Caenorhabditis elegans: one gene and its partners. The protein of the gene in region 3 purifies or fractionates together with the protein of the main gene of each other region. This does not show direct contact. Each region holds a gene or a part of one and is shown on either strand. Other genes may lie near its edges.

Region 1 (6,582 bases), on a different chromosome or scaffold from region 3:
TTCAATTCCTGATTTTCAGAACTATCATCGGAATGGCAACGAAGGAGTCGGAGAATGGAACTATTCGAAATCAGAAACCAAATAGAAGCGGCACTGGACATTTGATGGTTCTTAACAGGTATTCGTGGATTCGTAGAAGAGAAAATCAATGAGTTCATCATTTCAGAGCTCTTGAATTCGTCATCGATTTGCTGGATGGAGTGTTCACGTCGAATGATGAAAATGTATCGACAATCGCTCGTTCTTCTTATGACAAACATCTTTCTCAACTTCATTCTTGGCCAATCAGAACTGCTGTCGCTGCGGCTCTCTACACTTTGCCTCGAAAACCAGAATTTCTATGTAGACTTCGTGGTGATATGCCAGAGGACGATGATAATCAATTCCATGATATTTTCAATCGAGACGGACGAGATATTGTGCGAAGAGTGAACAAACTAGTTGAAAATTTCGAACTAACTGATTATAATCCTTCAGCCTGAATCTCTTTACTACCCTCTTCATTCTTGATCTCACAAAAAATATGTTCTCTGAAATTAAACTTTTCATTATATCTCTTGGTTGTACAACAAGTGTATTTGTTTTTGAAAAAGAAAAGCAGCAATCATTTTAAGAAATGTTTAATTCAAATAAAACAGTGTATAATAAATAAATAAATGAACGATTTTCAAAGGGTGACACCAAAAAATAGACACAACGAAGTGAAACTCGTCGAGTGTCGAATAACATTTGAACAGAAAAAAGCGAAGAAAAATTGGAGAATAAATAGTAAAGTGAACAACTTTTCAAGTTTCGCTATGCATTTTGCAGCACAATCCAATGTTGATGACTCGCATGTCTGACATGTCTTCCTGTGATCGGATAACTGCTTCGAATCCATCCATGGAAACAAGTTGTCCACTGTGACCTGCATCTTGTCCGAAAATCACTCGAGCCTTAAAGTTAACATTTCATTTAGCATTTTCAATTTAATATTTTCTTACATCATCTCCTGGTTGCGGTTTCATTGGAGTTAGCTGATCGAAATCAACTTCCAAGTTGCACTTGTGATCTGGCATGTAGACATCCACTTTTCCATCGGTAACATCTTTAATGATCGCCTCACGTCCGTTGAATCGCCCTTCGTGGTCCTTGATTTGCACACACAGATTCTGCACAATCCACACACCTTGAGCCAGGAAGTGGTCCGCTAAAAATAAGAAATTAGCTTCACTATAATTCAAATAAAATCTTGAGCAACTTACGAATTTGCTCAATAGCTCCATCGGCATTGTTGTAGTTGTTACTGTCGTAGCCAGCGAATGGAGAAGGCGCAACATATTGATCGTATGCTCCTCCACTTCCTGGCGTCATTGGAGCAGCGAATCCAGGTGTATCAACGTGATAGGCTCCCGGAGTTGCTGGATTGAGCATTGCACCTGGAGTTGGCACAACGTACGAGTGTGGAGGAGAATCATAAGTTGGAGACGAAGTGTCTCCGATGTCTTCCTCAACTTTTGTAGCTGCATCTGGTTCGTATGTCGGGCTGCTGTTCTCATATGTGTCGTATCCTGGAGTACGGGACACGAATGCTGGAGTTCTTGCTGGAGCATTGTCATACGCTTCAGGTGCATCGGGCTCGTATGCCGGACTCAACGCTAAACAATTAAAAATTAAAAATTGCAAAGATATGTAATGGTTCAACTCACGAATATCATAATCATTATTGTATGCTGGAGTTCTGGCGGAATGTTCGGATTCTGGATAGGCTGGAGTCTTACTGCTTGAATCATAGTTCGGAGTTCTCGATGGCATACTTTCATAGCCAGGCGTTCTTCCAGAATCATCATATGCAGGAGTTCTACTGTTGTCCATTGATCCGTATGCTGGAGTCCGTCCACCTTCCGTACTTCCATAGGCAGGAGTTCGTGCACCATCAGCACTACCGTAAGCAGGAGTTCTTGAACTGTCATTTCCATAGGCTGGAGTACGTGATGATGAATGTTCATCAAGATCTCCATATGCTGGAGTTTTGCTTCCATATGCAGGGGTACGTCCACCTTCTCCATACGCCGGTGTTCTTCCTCCATCATAAGCTGGAGTCATCGAGCCATACATCGGTGTTTGTGCTCCATACATCGGAGTCTTCGATCCATACATTGGAGTTTTGCCAGAGTCGCGCATCGGTGTCTTCGAAGAACTGTAGAACGAGCTTCCACCTCCACTTCCAGCTGTTATTCCAGTGTCTCCGACAACCATCACACGAGCACGATCGACAGAAATCGTTCTGCATTGTGTATGCAATTCGACACGAACTGTGTCTTCTGTGGCATCTCGAACAATTCCAAAGTGGCCCTTCATCGGACCTTTGATGATTCGAACATTTTTTCCAATGAGGGTAAGATCACGACGAACTTTTTGTTGATTTGCAGTTCCAAAATGACCACCACGTCCTCCTCCTCCACCTTGTCTCGGAGTTTGTCCACCACTGCTTCCACGACTTGACATACCATCTTGTGGAGAACGAGGAGTCATTCCTCCAGAAGAATGTCTTGGTGATGCCATAGGATTCGGTGAAGCCATTCGAGAAACCATCGGTGTACTGGTTGTTTTCTTAGCTCCTTGTAAAATCAGTTGTTTTGGTTTGCAAACCAAGACTCCTCCATTTTTAGTCACTTTGCGAGAATAAACGAAGACAGTTCCACGGAACGCATAGAGAACTTCTCCAACTGGATCCTCATCGGTTTCCCGCTCCTTTGCGTTTGGTCCTCCAATTACTTTTACCAGATCTTTAGCCTCGATGGAATTGTTTTGACTGTCGAGAACTTTCGCAAATCGAACGTCTTTTTTCGCTATAATAGCTTGTGGCTTTATACGATTCACAACTCCGTGCATGTTGAGAACTTCCAAATGTTCCTTCTCCAATCGAACAATTACTCCAACATTTCCTGTATGGTCGAGCTGTACAAGATCATGATATTGGAACTGTCCCAGTGAGTCCACTCCAGTTGTCACATCAGCACAAAGTTGCAAATCTCGTACACGAACTTTCAATTCTTCCATTCCAAGATCAGACAAAACTATGGCTGTGCTATCTTTTACTCGGACAATTAATCCAGTATGTCCTTCGTATCGTCCACTAATAACCTTTGCATGATCTCCTTCCTTGAAGTATTTCCTGAGCTCATGAGCGTTCAAAGTGATTGCTTCTTTCAAATCTTCTTGATCTGGCATCATCACAACCTTCGTCCCATCGACCGTCATCACTTTACCCCGAAGATTCACCAACTCTCCAGCTTTCACTTCGACGATATCTCCAGGAACAAATGGATTTTCTGTGTCTTTGAGAGAAGCCGTTTCCACTGAAAAAAAGTATTTTTAAAAAAGAATAAAGGAATAAAAACTTACATTCTCTCTTGAGATCATCGCTAGATTCTTGGAACTTTTCGAGTTCTCCAAGAGTTGGTTTAACACCATCAGCTTGAATTGCGTTTATGGGGAAGTACTTGTAGAGGAATCCTCGCCGGAAATGATTTCCTTCAAATACTAAGAAGTCTCCGTCCGTCACAATTTCTCCTCCAACTTCTTTGATGGTATCCTGATCAAATAACTTGGGCATTGGGCGTCTTTTCAGCTTATAGTTTTTATCAGCATCAGTTCTCATTGCTCCGCGCCGCTTCTGATAATCGACACGGGGAATCAATTTCAGGTTGACACGGTTCTGAGCGATATCCACAAGATCAACGACAGCCAGATCATCTTTGTACATTGTTCTTTTCAAACGAACATATGATCCGAGTTTCAACTGTGGAATGTCTTTGACAACTCTCAATACATCTACCATATCTTTGATGGGAACCATGGTTATAGTGAATTGATTGAGAGCTGAAAATCCTTCAATTGCAGACATGACGTGAGATTGTTTGAACGCCTCGATATAGATCATTCCTTTGAGTCCTTCCTTGACGACAACTGATTTGATTTGGAATGGCTATAAATTGATTAAATGCAATCATTATTACGGGACATTTATCAATTACCTCGTTTGTGTGCTCAACCGCAAGACATTTACGCATCAGATGCATCGCTACGAGTTTTTCCTCTCCCATGCGACATTTGACAATCCACAGGTTAGGATCCTTCGTGGATGGAAGATGAGAATTTTTTGAAATATCATCCATAGCTGAATCTTCGTCATCATATTGACTGTCGTTTTTGTCACCCTTGTACTTGTTCTCAAAGTATTTCTGGACTTCGTCTTCCGTCATGTTTTGGAACTTGTACCGATCTCTATTCCGTTGACTCAATTCCATTTCTTTCATCGCACGCTCAGCTTCCTCTCGCTCGTTCATTGCATTCATGCTTGGATCGTCTTCGTCATCGTAATCATTGTCGTCGTCTTCGTCTTCGTCGTCGACTTCAACATCCCAAGCAAGAAAATCTCGTCCAGAAGGAGCCTTATTCTTCCGTTTCTGCTTTTTAGATTTCTTGCTGGTCACGTTTTCATCTTCATCGTCATCGTCGTCATCATCATCGTCCGAGCCACTTTTCTGAAAAACCGACAGGATTGTAACTTTAAAATTAATTGTTTTCACTCACCTCACTCTCTGAAGCAAGTTTCCGCTTTCTGTCCTTCTTTGAATTTTTGATTTCAACATCTGAGCCATCATCATCGCTCAAAGTCTGTAAGAGGATAAAAATCGATAAATAAGTAAAGTCGCATAATTTGTGAATTTTCCATGAAAGCTTATTTGTTATTTTCGGCGAAATCGATCGAATCTCAAATCATAGAGTGAAAAATCGATAACTAACCGTGTCTTCTTCTTTGTTTGAGGCTGCATCACTTTCGTCAGAGGACATTGCTAACTGAAACATTTAAGTAAATTTCAAATAACTTGGGGCAGAGAAATGAGGAGGAACGCGTGTGATTTAGGACAACGCTTAAAAATTCAGAAAATTAGGCAAGAAGTAAATCAATCAATTGAAAAAATGATTAACTTTATAGGTATAAATGATTAGAAGAAATTAAGCGCAAAAAAGAAGAAGAAAATGAAGAAGAAATAAATTGTCGTCGGTTCCGATGCCCGGTACGCAATCTGGTGTTCACGTCCAAAACCCACAACTTGCCGCGCATTAAATATATATTTATTTAACATTTTAATGTTTTTATGCGTGCGGATTTTGAAAAGGTAGGAAATTCTCTGTGGATACGCTTGAAAAATCTCAAAGCTTTAAGAAGTATTGCTTTGCTCTTCAATTTCGCATAAATATTTAATTTCATTTCAGAAAATATCATGAACTTTCTTCGTTTCAAAAGCTTTTAATTTTCACGATTACGATTTTTCTTCTATGGGTACTTGGAGTTGTGGATAAGTTTAGAGAGGTACTTTATACGCCAGAAAAAATTATTTAAACATAATGATTATATTTTTCAGACGAGTTTTGGTGACTTCAGTTGGCCACTGGAAACGCGTAATTTACAATTGCGAAGCAAGTTTACAAAATATCCACAGTGCAAATTTTCTGGCAATGGACAAAAGATTATTATTATTATAATCAAGTCAAGTGCGAAAAATGGACCGGTTAGTATTTGCAGAAAATCAAATTTCTATTTAAAAAAAACAATATTCAGATGCGAGAGTCAGTAAGAAAGACGTGGGGAGTGTTTCGAATGATTGATGGAGTCGAAGTTATGCCAATCTTCATTGTGGGAAGAGTGGAAAATATGGAGATAATGAGAAGAATTGATGTAGAATCGGAGAAGTATAAGGATATTCTTGCAATATCAGACATAGATTCATATCGGAACAATACCTTAAAAGTTTGTTTTCTTGAACACTTTTCTCAATAAAAACCTAATTTCAGTTGTTTGGCGCCATTGACTACGCTGCGAATCCAAATCAATGCTCTTCTCCAGACTTTACCTTTCTGGTAGATGACGATTATTTGGTACATATCCCAAATCTTGTAAAATTCGCAAAAACTAAACAAAAAGAGGAACTTGTTTACGAAGGCTTCGTATTTGACACGTCACCATTCAGGCTTAAGATCCACAAACACAGCGTAAGTGCTTCAAGTAAAAAAAAAACCTATTTCCAAATTATTACAAGTTACAGATTTCGCTGAATGAGTATCCATTTTCACGATATCCTCCATACGTCTCCGCTGGCGCTGTCTTCCTCACTTCCGAAACCATTGCGCGATTCAGAAATTCAATTAGAAAACTGAAAATGTTTCCATTCGATGATGTCTTTACGGGTATTCTCGCCAAAACAGTGAATGTCGCAGCAACTCATAATGAGAACTTCATCTTCTGGTGTCGACGAGTGTCTCAAAAAGAATGGGATGATGGTGTAATTGCAGTTCATGGATATGCCAGGAAAGATCTTGAATACGAGTATAGCCAGTTAAACGGGTTCGAATAAATTGTATTTTGAATTTTTTTCATATAATTTTCAACATATCAATAGAGATCGTAAGAAATAAAAATTAAATATTCAAAGTTTAGCTCGAGCAATATAATAGTTAACATCACTTCCCAGAAGCATTCTTCCTTTTCCATCGTCAATCGCAATTGAGACGGCTTCAACTCGTCCTGTTTGA
Region 2 (3,812 bases), on a different chromosome or scaffold from region 3:
GAAATCATTAAAGACATTGAAAATGATCAATGGAAAGATAAACCAGTCGATGAAACGAGATGGTCGTAAGATAAAAAAAACTCTAAATTTCTAGCTTTTTCCATAGATTTTCGGATTCAGAAAAACAAAAAGTGCTGTACACGAGTGGGGATTGTCTTGTTCGTGGCATGGAATCCCTCACATGGCTCAATCTCTTTCAGTAAGTAATAGGTTCAAATATTTCTTCAAATTCAGAGATTCCATGATTCCAGTGGCCAACGATCCTTCTCTGGACAACCTTGCTCATTATCAGCGCCGTTTTGTTCGTCTACCTTATCACCGTCACCGTTCGCCAATACTTTTCGTTTCAAAAATTGGTGAATCTGAATGTAAATTTCTTAAATCGCTTTTTTTTTTAAATCTTTATTATTTTATTGAAGCCAAAGAATTGTAGATTGGAATGGTAGAGTCGAACTTCCCATCAATCACATTCTGTAATACAAATCCATATAAATTGAGTGCAGTTCGAGCGATTCCTGAGCTGGAAGCCTTGGTAATTAAATTTACAAAATTTAAAATGAATCGGAATTTTGTTTTCAGCTCACCGTCTACTCACAAGCCTATACATGATAAAACTTTGGATTTTTATTTTTCTGCATTTTCAAATAAAGTCATAACAAACAACAAAACAATCATCTCAAATTGCAATTCAAAAAATCGACAAATCCCGTGATAATCTTCTCCTTATCAGTTGTCGGATCCTTCTTCGACATGTTCACAAATTGGTGTCGCAGTCGATTCAGCTCAGGCAGCGTTCTCAATTTCATAAACTTTATCGTATTGGCTCCGTCTGTTGCTCCAGGAATCGTCAGGTTTTGACCGCGAACTGCAGTTCTTTGAGCATTTAAAAGCACTGTAACAACGTCTTGTGTGGATCGATCCAGCTCGTGAAGAAAATTTGTCGGCGCCAGTGGGACTGTCTGTGTTGATTGGTTTTCTGTGAGCTCTGTTCCCTGGAAAACTAATTATTTTTCTATTCGATAATTTAGGATTCACTTACATTACAAATCCATTCAACAATTTCATCTTCAAAAATGCTCGCAAATCTCGGAGCAGGATGCTCCAAGTCTATCGCCATATCCTCATCGAAGTCTACAGGCGTGGCTCTGGAATAGGAAACAATTATTATTTTTTTTTCCAATTAATTTTCCAATCTCACTTCTCAGCAGTACCAATTTTAACCTCAAACAATGGTTTTTCCCATCTCAACTTCGTATCCGGCCTTTCATATCTCATCATCAACTGATCGATAATCTCCTTCGGATATCTCTCCACTTCAGGCTTCTGCTCATTGAGCCAGTGACACGTGGCGACGGGAGGCGAGCACTCGACGACACAATACGTGGTTTTGCTCATCTTAGCGGCTAAGAATAATTCATATCGATATCCTTTGATATAATTCAAAGCATCACATATTATAACTTTATTCTTCGTTAGATTCTGTTGAACTTGAGATCGAATCCAAGATCGGAGATCCTTCTCTTTATTCGAAAATTCGTAGTTTTTTCGATCAAATCCTCCGTAATCTTCGTCCCGTATTATCAAATAGTCTTTGCCTGGAATGATGGGAATTTTAAGAAATTTTAAAGCAGAAAATACACAATTTTTACCTTTTTCCTCGAATTTCTTCGCTAATCTATCAACAACTGTAGATTTTCCAGACGATGGATGACCGGTAACAATGATAAGAGGCATAAATATCTAGAATAATCCTTATATTTCAGTAATTTTGACATATTTCAATCCATGAATTTTGCAAAAAACAACGTCGCACAGAAATAGAGGCGGGGCGTAATTTTGCAACCTTGCGGCACGATTTTTTACTCTATAAGAGATTGAAATTGGATCGCATTTTCATTCGAAAAAGAGAATAAAACGAGCAAATTCCCCGATCGATCCTGTAGTTTTTTGAAGTTCCGCATCTAAAAAAAGTAATTCACGGTAATGAACCGTTTACAATATTTTAGAAAATTGAATTTCATAAATTCAAAAATTGCAATTTTATTTTACAGTTGGAGGAAATCCGGAAACAATTTAAAACTTTCACGACGATTTGAATTTTTTTTTGTGGTTTTTTGTTTCTCTTTGATGATGGCCATAATTAAAGGAATAAGGAGGAATGCGACTTAATGAAAAAAATAAGAGAAAATTACAGAGAAAAAAAAAAGAAATTAGGTATATATTTTAATATCACACAAGATGCTGCTCATCCGTCAAACGGTGGAGGAGAGTCAGAATCCGACGAATCTCTATCCGGTACACCAGTTGCTGCGTCTTCATCGAGGAATAGTGTCAATTTGTCGTTGAATGGACGTGCTTGAGCGGCCGGATACTTTTGATCACGATCACAAATTCCTCGTACAATTTCCGCTTTTTGTTTCCCGCAAATGATGAAAGCAACGTTTTTGGCGTGTTGAAGAGTTTGCAAAGTAAGTGTGATACGAGATGGTGGAGGTTTCGGGGAGTCTGTGATGACGGAAACCCAATTTAGCTCGGTAATCTTCTCCAGCCGCTCCTTTCCAGGGAAGATACTTGCAGTGTGACCATCTGGACCAACTCCAAGGAAAAGAATATCGAAACGAGCAGTATTGTTGAGCTGCTCCGGGAGCAAGTATTTACGAAGACTGATTTCATAGTGTTGGGCGGTGAGGCAGGGATCCTTGAAAATTTGCATGGGCACAAAAACGTCTCTGAGCTCATTCGGGAATAATCTCAAATATTCTCCCTGATTACTTTCCTCGCTATCCAGATCAACGTTACGCTCATCAACCATAAAAATTCGAATCCTCTTCCAATTCAGCTGCTCTTGTGGCAAAGAGAGAATAGCTTTCGAAAAGACTCGTGGCATCGATCCACCGGAAACTCCAATACTGACTGTACCATTTTGATCTAGAAGATAGGTGAGCTTTTCCTCGAGATAACGACGCAGCTGAAGGATGAGCTCCTTTTCGTCGCCAGAAACGTTGAGCGCCGGCTTCATCTGAAAATAATTTTGTTTTATAAAGAATAAATACATTTGAAACGAGATTTTACATTGCTATTCGATACGAATTCGTTAACGAGACACATTGATATTCTCCACGGAATGAGCGGGGGCTGAGTGAGCGGAAATACTGAAAAAGAAGCAAGAAATAAAATCGTTTATGACATGAAAAGGATTTCTCTTCACGAAATAAACCAGGTTTATTTTAAAAGCTAAAGGAAGGTGTCATAAATAAGAAAAAGGAATTTTAATTTATTTAAACTGTATTATTATTATTCAGAAAAAAGCCGATGAAAACAGGAAAAAAACAAAAAGTGATAAATGTCTAGCAACAATACTCCGAAATGCATGCGCGCCCAGTTTATTGAGACGATAGACTATGCAAAAAGACGAGACGCAGAGTATGCAAGCATGCTCCACTGCACTCTTGTGTCGAAATACGAGCGAGTCCACGGATTTTCCATTGATTTCCGAGTTTTCTTCGCATATTTTTGCAGTTTTCAAAGCTTCATGATTTGCAATTTAATTATCAAATACTTAATATTGTTATTTGTAGTAAATATGACCACAAAACTGGCGCGATTCGCTCAAAAACGATGGATTTCTTCGACGACTTCCACATCAAATATGTACGATCCAAGAGTATTCAGAGATCCCGTAACGAATGTTCAAGAGGTTAATTTGTTTGTTTTAATCTATAAATCTTAACTATTATTTTAGCTCCGAAAACCATTGGATTCGGATGATGAGCGCAACTTTTTGTTCCTCAAAGCGATGAAAAGTGATGCGA
Region 3 (3,688 bases):
ACCACCTTTCAGATCGTTTCTTTCCATTCACATTTTCCATTACACCAACGTGACTCCACCTCACCATCAAATTTTAAAAGTGCACAAATTGGCTTCTGGCGTCTACTTACCAAAATAAAGAAGATATTTAGCTTTGATAGAAGAAGAGAATTTAGAGAAAGAAAAGAAAGGATGTATTAATTTCTCCCCTTAAAACCAAACCACGTTTACTTACACGCGGTTATTAAGGTCGACACGTTTAGTTTTATCCTTTTTATTTGATAATGCACCGCTACCGTATCAATTACCAATATTCTTTTCGTCCTGCTATTTCCATCATGTTAAACAGCTCATTTATCAGCTCGCTGAAACAGCTCTCGTAGTAACTATTGGCATTATCGAAAGTGAAAAATATTTTATATGCAATACAAGTTTATATAAAATCAACAAACAAATTTACCACTTTTCAGTGGATATGGGGGGGGGGGGGTGGAGGAGAGTGAAGATTAACAAATAAATTATCAGTTAATTATTACACAAGCCAGAAAACTTATAACAATCATATTTGAGTATCCGTGGAAGAGTGTGTATGGGGTATCTGGCAAAACTACCACGTGAAGACAATTTAGAAGAAAGAATCTCAAAAAATCAGCAAAACTTCCAGCGATTTCCGCACTCGAGACAGAAGACAAATGTTGTCATCGGTTCGTCGGAAGAACGAGTTTGAAGCTGAGTATAGGTGCAATTCTTCTTTCCACATTTTCCGCACTTGAACATGTCTGATGGAGTTCCTTGCTGGACGCTCATTTGATGTTCTAGGATAGCTTCCTTCGTGAATTTATCACGCATCTCCCGGATTTCAGCGGATGCCATTTCTTCGCTGGTCATGGTTGCAAACTTTTCAGCACGGACGACACCAGTGAGAACATTTTCACGTAGAGCAAGGTTCTTTTTATCACGAAGATTGAAAATGCGACTACGAACAGCTGCTGAGTAACTCTTGTTTGTATCACGGTGAACCTATAATCAAAAAGTTAAAAATGTTTCACTTTCAGGATAAACCATACCGAATAGAGTTTCTCTTCAATTTGGACAGCTAACTCCTCTGGATCGAGTGTTCCTTGTGGCATGTCTCCAAACCGAAGTGCCGAAAGTAGAAGTTGTGCAGATTTAAGACGGGTCTCGTCATTTTCAAGATGTTTCGGTGGGAAAGATGCACTGGCAAATTGAGCAACTATTTCTGGCCGACTAGATGGTTCTGGCCGCTTATATGGAGCCTCGATCTTCTTTTTCTCTGGTTTTGCCTCTTCAACACTTTCCTTTCTGTGCTTCTTCGCAGGTGGAGCACCACCATCATCCTGTGACTTGCTCTTTCCATCAACTACATTCTTCCAATCCTAGAAAAAAAATAATTGGAAGTAGCTACATTTCATTTATGAAAAAAAGTACCTTAATGATGTTCTTAGCCCGCTTTGCAACAGCATCATCTGTGACTTTTTTCCGCATCATATTCACTTTTATTCCAATGTTGGTTTTCTGGAAAACAATTTTATTATTACTTGATGGACAAAATTAAAGTAGAACTCACCTGGATTATTTCGATGCTCATTGGAATTTTCGACAACTGGTCGAGCAGCTTATTGCATTGTTCGACGGATTCCATTCCATTATTGCAAATATCGTCAACTTGCTTGCACAACGATTGTGTTTCCTCGAGAGCGGACATAGCTGCTGCAAGACAAAAGGTAAAGAATGACGGAGAGTATTAATTATGTAGTGGATTATAAAGAGAGAAAAGATGTGGACGCGCAAAAAACACAAATATCTGTGAATATTGACTGAAAACGAAATTGGTACATTTGAAGAAACGCGTCAATAATCCGAATAACGCGTCAGCAAAGGCACCTGGCGCATTTCTCGTGCGCCTCTCCTGACCTGTCTCGGATTCTGGGAAAGTTACGATGATTTGGCGATTTTCAGAAAGATTCTTCTCTTTTTATTCTCAATATGCTCAAAAATAATGTTATTCATGATATAATTCATCTGTTAGTTTCAAATATAATAATCCCTTAGATTTTGGAGCTCGTAAAATATCACGGCACTAACATTGTGTCCAGTCGAACTGAATGTTGACATTTATTAGTTAAGTATTTGAGATTTCATGCTATGTTTATAGTCAACAGCCTGAATTATCAGTCAGTTAAAGTTACAATCATTGATCAATTTTCTCTTTTTTTTTTAATTTTCAGTTAACTTTTTGGCCATCTCCATTTATCGCATCTCCATTTAAAATCATAATTAATATTTCTATGAGATTATATTAATCCCATATTGATTCTTGGGACTTTTTTAGTTGCAGAATGTGAAATTCCCATTTTATTCATTTGACTCCAGCTACCCTTCTGTGCGGTATCAAAATAGCTCTTGATGTTAAACCACAAATTTTTGTTTTCAAATATTTCCTTTTCTATCTTAACAAATAATTGTTCTTTTATTCCAGCCGAAAATGGAACGAGCAGGTCGGTCGTCGACCCTTGGTTCAACAGATGATGTCGAGTTGGAACCAAGTGGAACTTCTGCTACAATACACCTTGATATGACTGCAGGTGATCGAAACAATATCAATTTTCCCATAGAAAATTTTCTTAACGAACACTTTTCATTCAGGTGGCGGCAGCTCTTCAAGTGATTTTAACCCATTTGGTGCTATTGATGACGTCAGATTCAAAACAGACGACGATCTTCCAGACGTCATGGCTCCGCCGTTTTTCAGTAAATATGGAGATTTTCATACAATTGATTGGCAAAGAGATTTAGCCAGAGATCGGTTACGGCATAAAATGATATCTAAGAAAAAGTTAGTTGGGTTCCCCCATTAAAATAATGCAAAGCTAAATGAATTTATGACCTGCAACAAATAATATTTTCAGAGTGGATTTCCCCCTTGGGCTTCTACAATCGGGATGGGATGCCGGAGCAGGATGGATATGCGTTCTTTTTGTTGGACTGGCTGCTGGTGCAACTGCTGGAATCATCGATATTGGAGCTCGATGGATGAGTGATCTAAAGGTTATTTATTTATCTGAAGTGAAAATCTAAATTCAATTTTTGAGCTATGAACAAGCTTCAAATTGATTTTAACATGTATAAATTTTTTTTTAATTTTTGGTATAAAAACTGTTTTCAAAAATCCATCCAAGTGTCAAATTAAAATTTCAGACAGGAGTGTGTGCGGATCGTTTCTGGTTGGATCACGAACACTGTTGTTGGTCATCAAATGATACATTTTATAAGGATGATGATTGTAAAGCATGGACGAAATGGCCATGGATGCTGAATTACTACAACTCATCCAGTTTTCTCTTCTTATTTCTCGAATGGATATTTTATATTGGATGGGCTGTTGCAATGTCGACTCTTGCCGTTCTTTTCGTTAAAATATTCGCTCCCTACGCCTGTGGATCTGGAATTCCAGAAATCAAATGCATTTTATCTGGATTCGTGATTCGTGGATATCTTGGAAAATGGACATTTATCATCAAATCTGTAGGACTTATTCTATCGTCAGCTTCTGGTTTGTCTCTTGGAAAAGAAGGTCCAATGGTCCACTTGGCTTGTTGCATTGGAAATATTTTCTCATATTTATTCCCTAAATATGGTCTTAATGAAGCAAAAAAACGTGAAATTCTGTCAGCATCTGCTGCAGCTG

What was found. The genes of interacting proteins can lie anywhere in the genome.
Region 1: the proteins of T24H10.1 (region 3) and spt-5 fractionate together in Caenorhabditis elegans (co-fractionation; one large-scale study listed by BioGRID). This does not show direct contact.
Region 2: the proteins of T24H10.1 (region 3) and Y57G11C.43 fractionate together in Caenorhabditis elegans (co-fractionation; one large-scale study listed by BioGRID). This does not show direct contact.

What each region holds. Positions count from the first base shown.
Region 1 is NC_003282.8:12,049,754-12,056,335, reverse strand, and holds spt-5 (Transcription elongation factor SPT5), read right to left. Parts: upstream 4,846-6,582; 5' UTR 4,840-4,845; coding exon 4,792-4,839; intron 4,663-4,791; coding exon 4,579-4,662; intron 4,530-4,578; coding exon 4,020-4,529; intron 3,971-4,019; coding exon 3,388-3,970; intron 3,342-3,387; coding exon 1,689-3,341; intron 1,638-1,688; coding exon 1,245-1,637; intron 1,190-1,244; coding exon 984-1,189; intron 936-983; coding exon 786-935; 3' UTR 590-785; downstream 1-589. Other genes in the region: K08E4.2 (Glycolipid transfer protein domain-containing protein), read left to right, coding at 20-118, 167-482; Beta-1,3-galactosyltransferase bre-5, read left to right, coding at 5,140-5,168, 5,266-5,362, 5,415-5,561, 5,612-5,800, 5,845-6,042, 6,096-6,404; T12G3.4 (Strictosidine synthase conserved region domain-containing protein), read right to left, coding at 6,477-6,582.
Region 2 is NC_003282.8:14,767,497-14,771,308, reverse strand, and holds Y57G11C.43 (Protein KTI12 homolog), read right to left. Parts: upstream 1,869-3,812; 5' UTR 1,735-1,868; coding exon 1,650-1,734; intron 1,596-1,649; coding exon 1,199-1,595; intron 1,146-1,198; coding exon 1,040-1,145; intron 993-1,039; coding exon 672-992; 3' UTR 610-671; downstream 1-609. Other genes in the region: degl-1 (DEgenerin Like), read left to right, coding at 1-65, 121-199, 252-368, 434-532, 580-609; Y57G11C.3 (Putative 6-phosphogluconolactonase), read right to left, coding at 2,246-3,019, 3,073-3,108; mrps-7 (Small ribosomal subunit protein uS7m), read left to right, coding at 3,584-3,697, 3,743-3,812.
Region 3 is NC_003280.10:9,097,395-9,101,082, reverse strand, and holds T24H10.1 (Putative transcription elongation factor S-II), read right to left. Parts: upstream 1,713-3,688; 5' UTR 1,706-1,712; coding exon 1,568-1,705; intron 1,516-1,567; coding exon 1,429-1,515; intron 1,377-1,428; coding exon 1,047-1,376; intron 1,000-1,046; coding exon 628-999; 3' UTR 514-627; downstream 1-513. Other genes in the region: clh-5 (Chloride channel protein), read left to right, coding at 2,486-2,585, 2,647-2,836, 2,910-3,048, 3,199-3,688. UniProt on the Caenorhabditis elegans protein: Necessary for efficient RNA polymerase II transcription elongation past template-encoded arresting sites.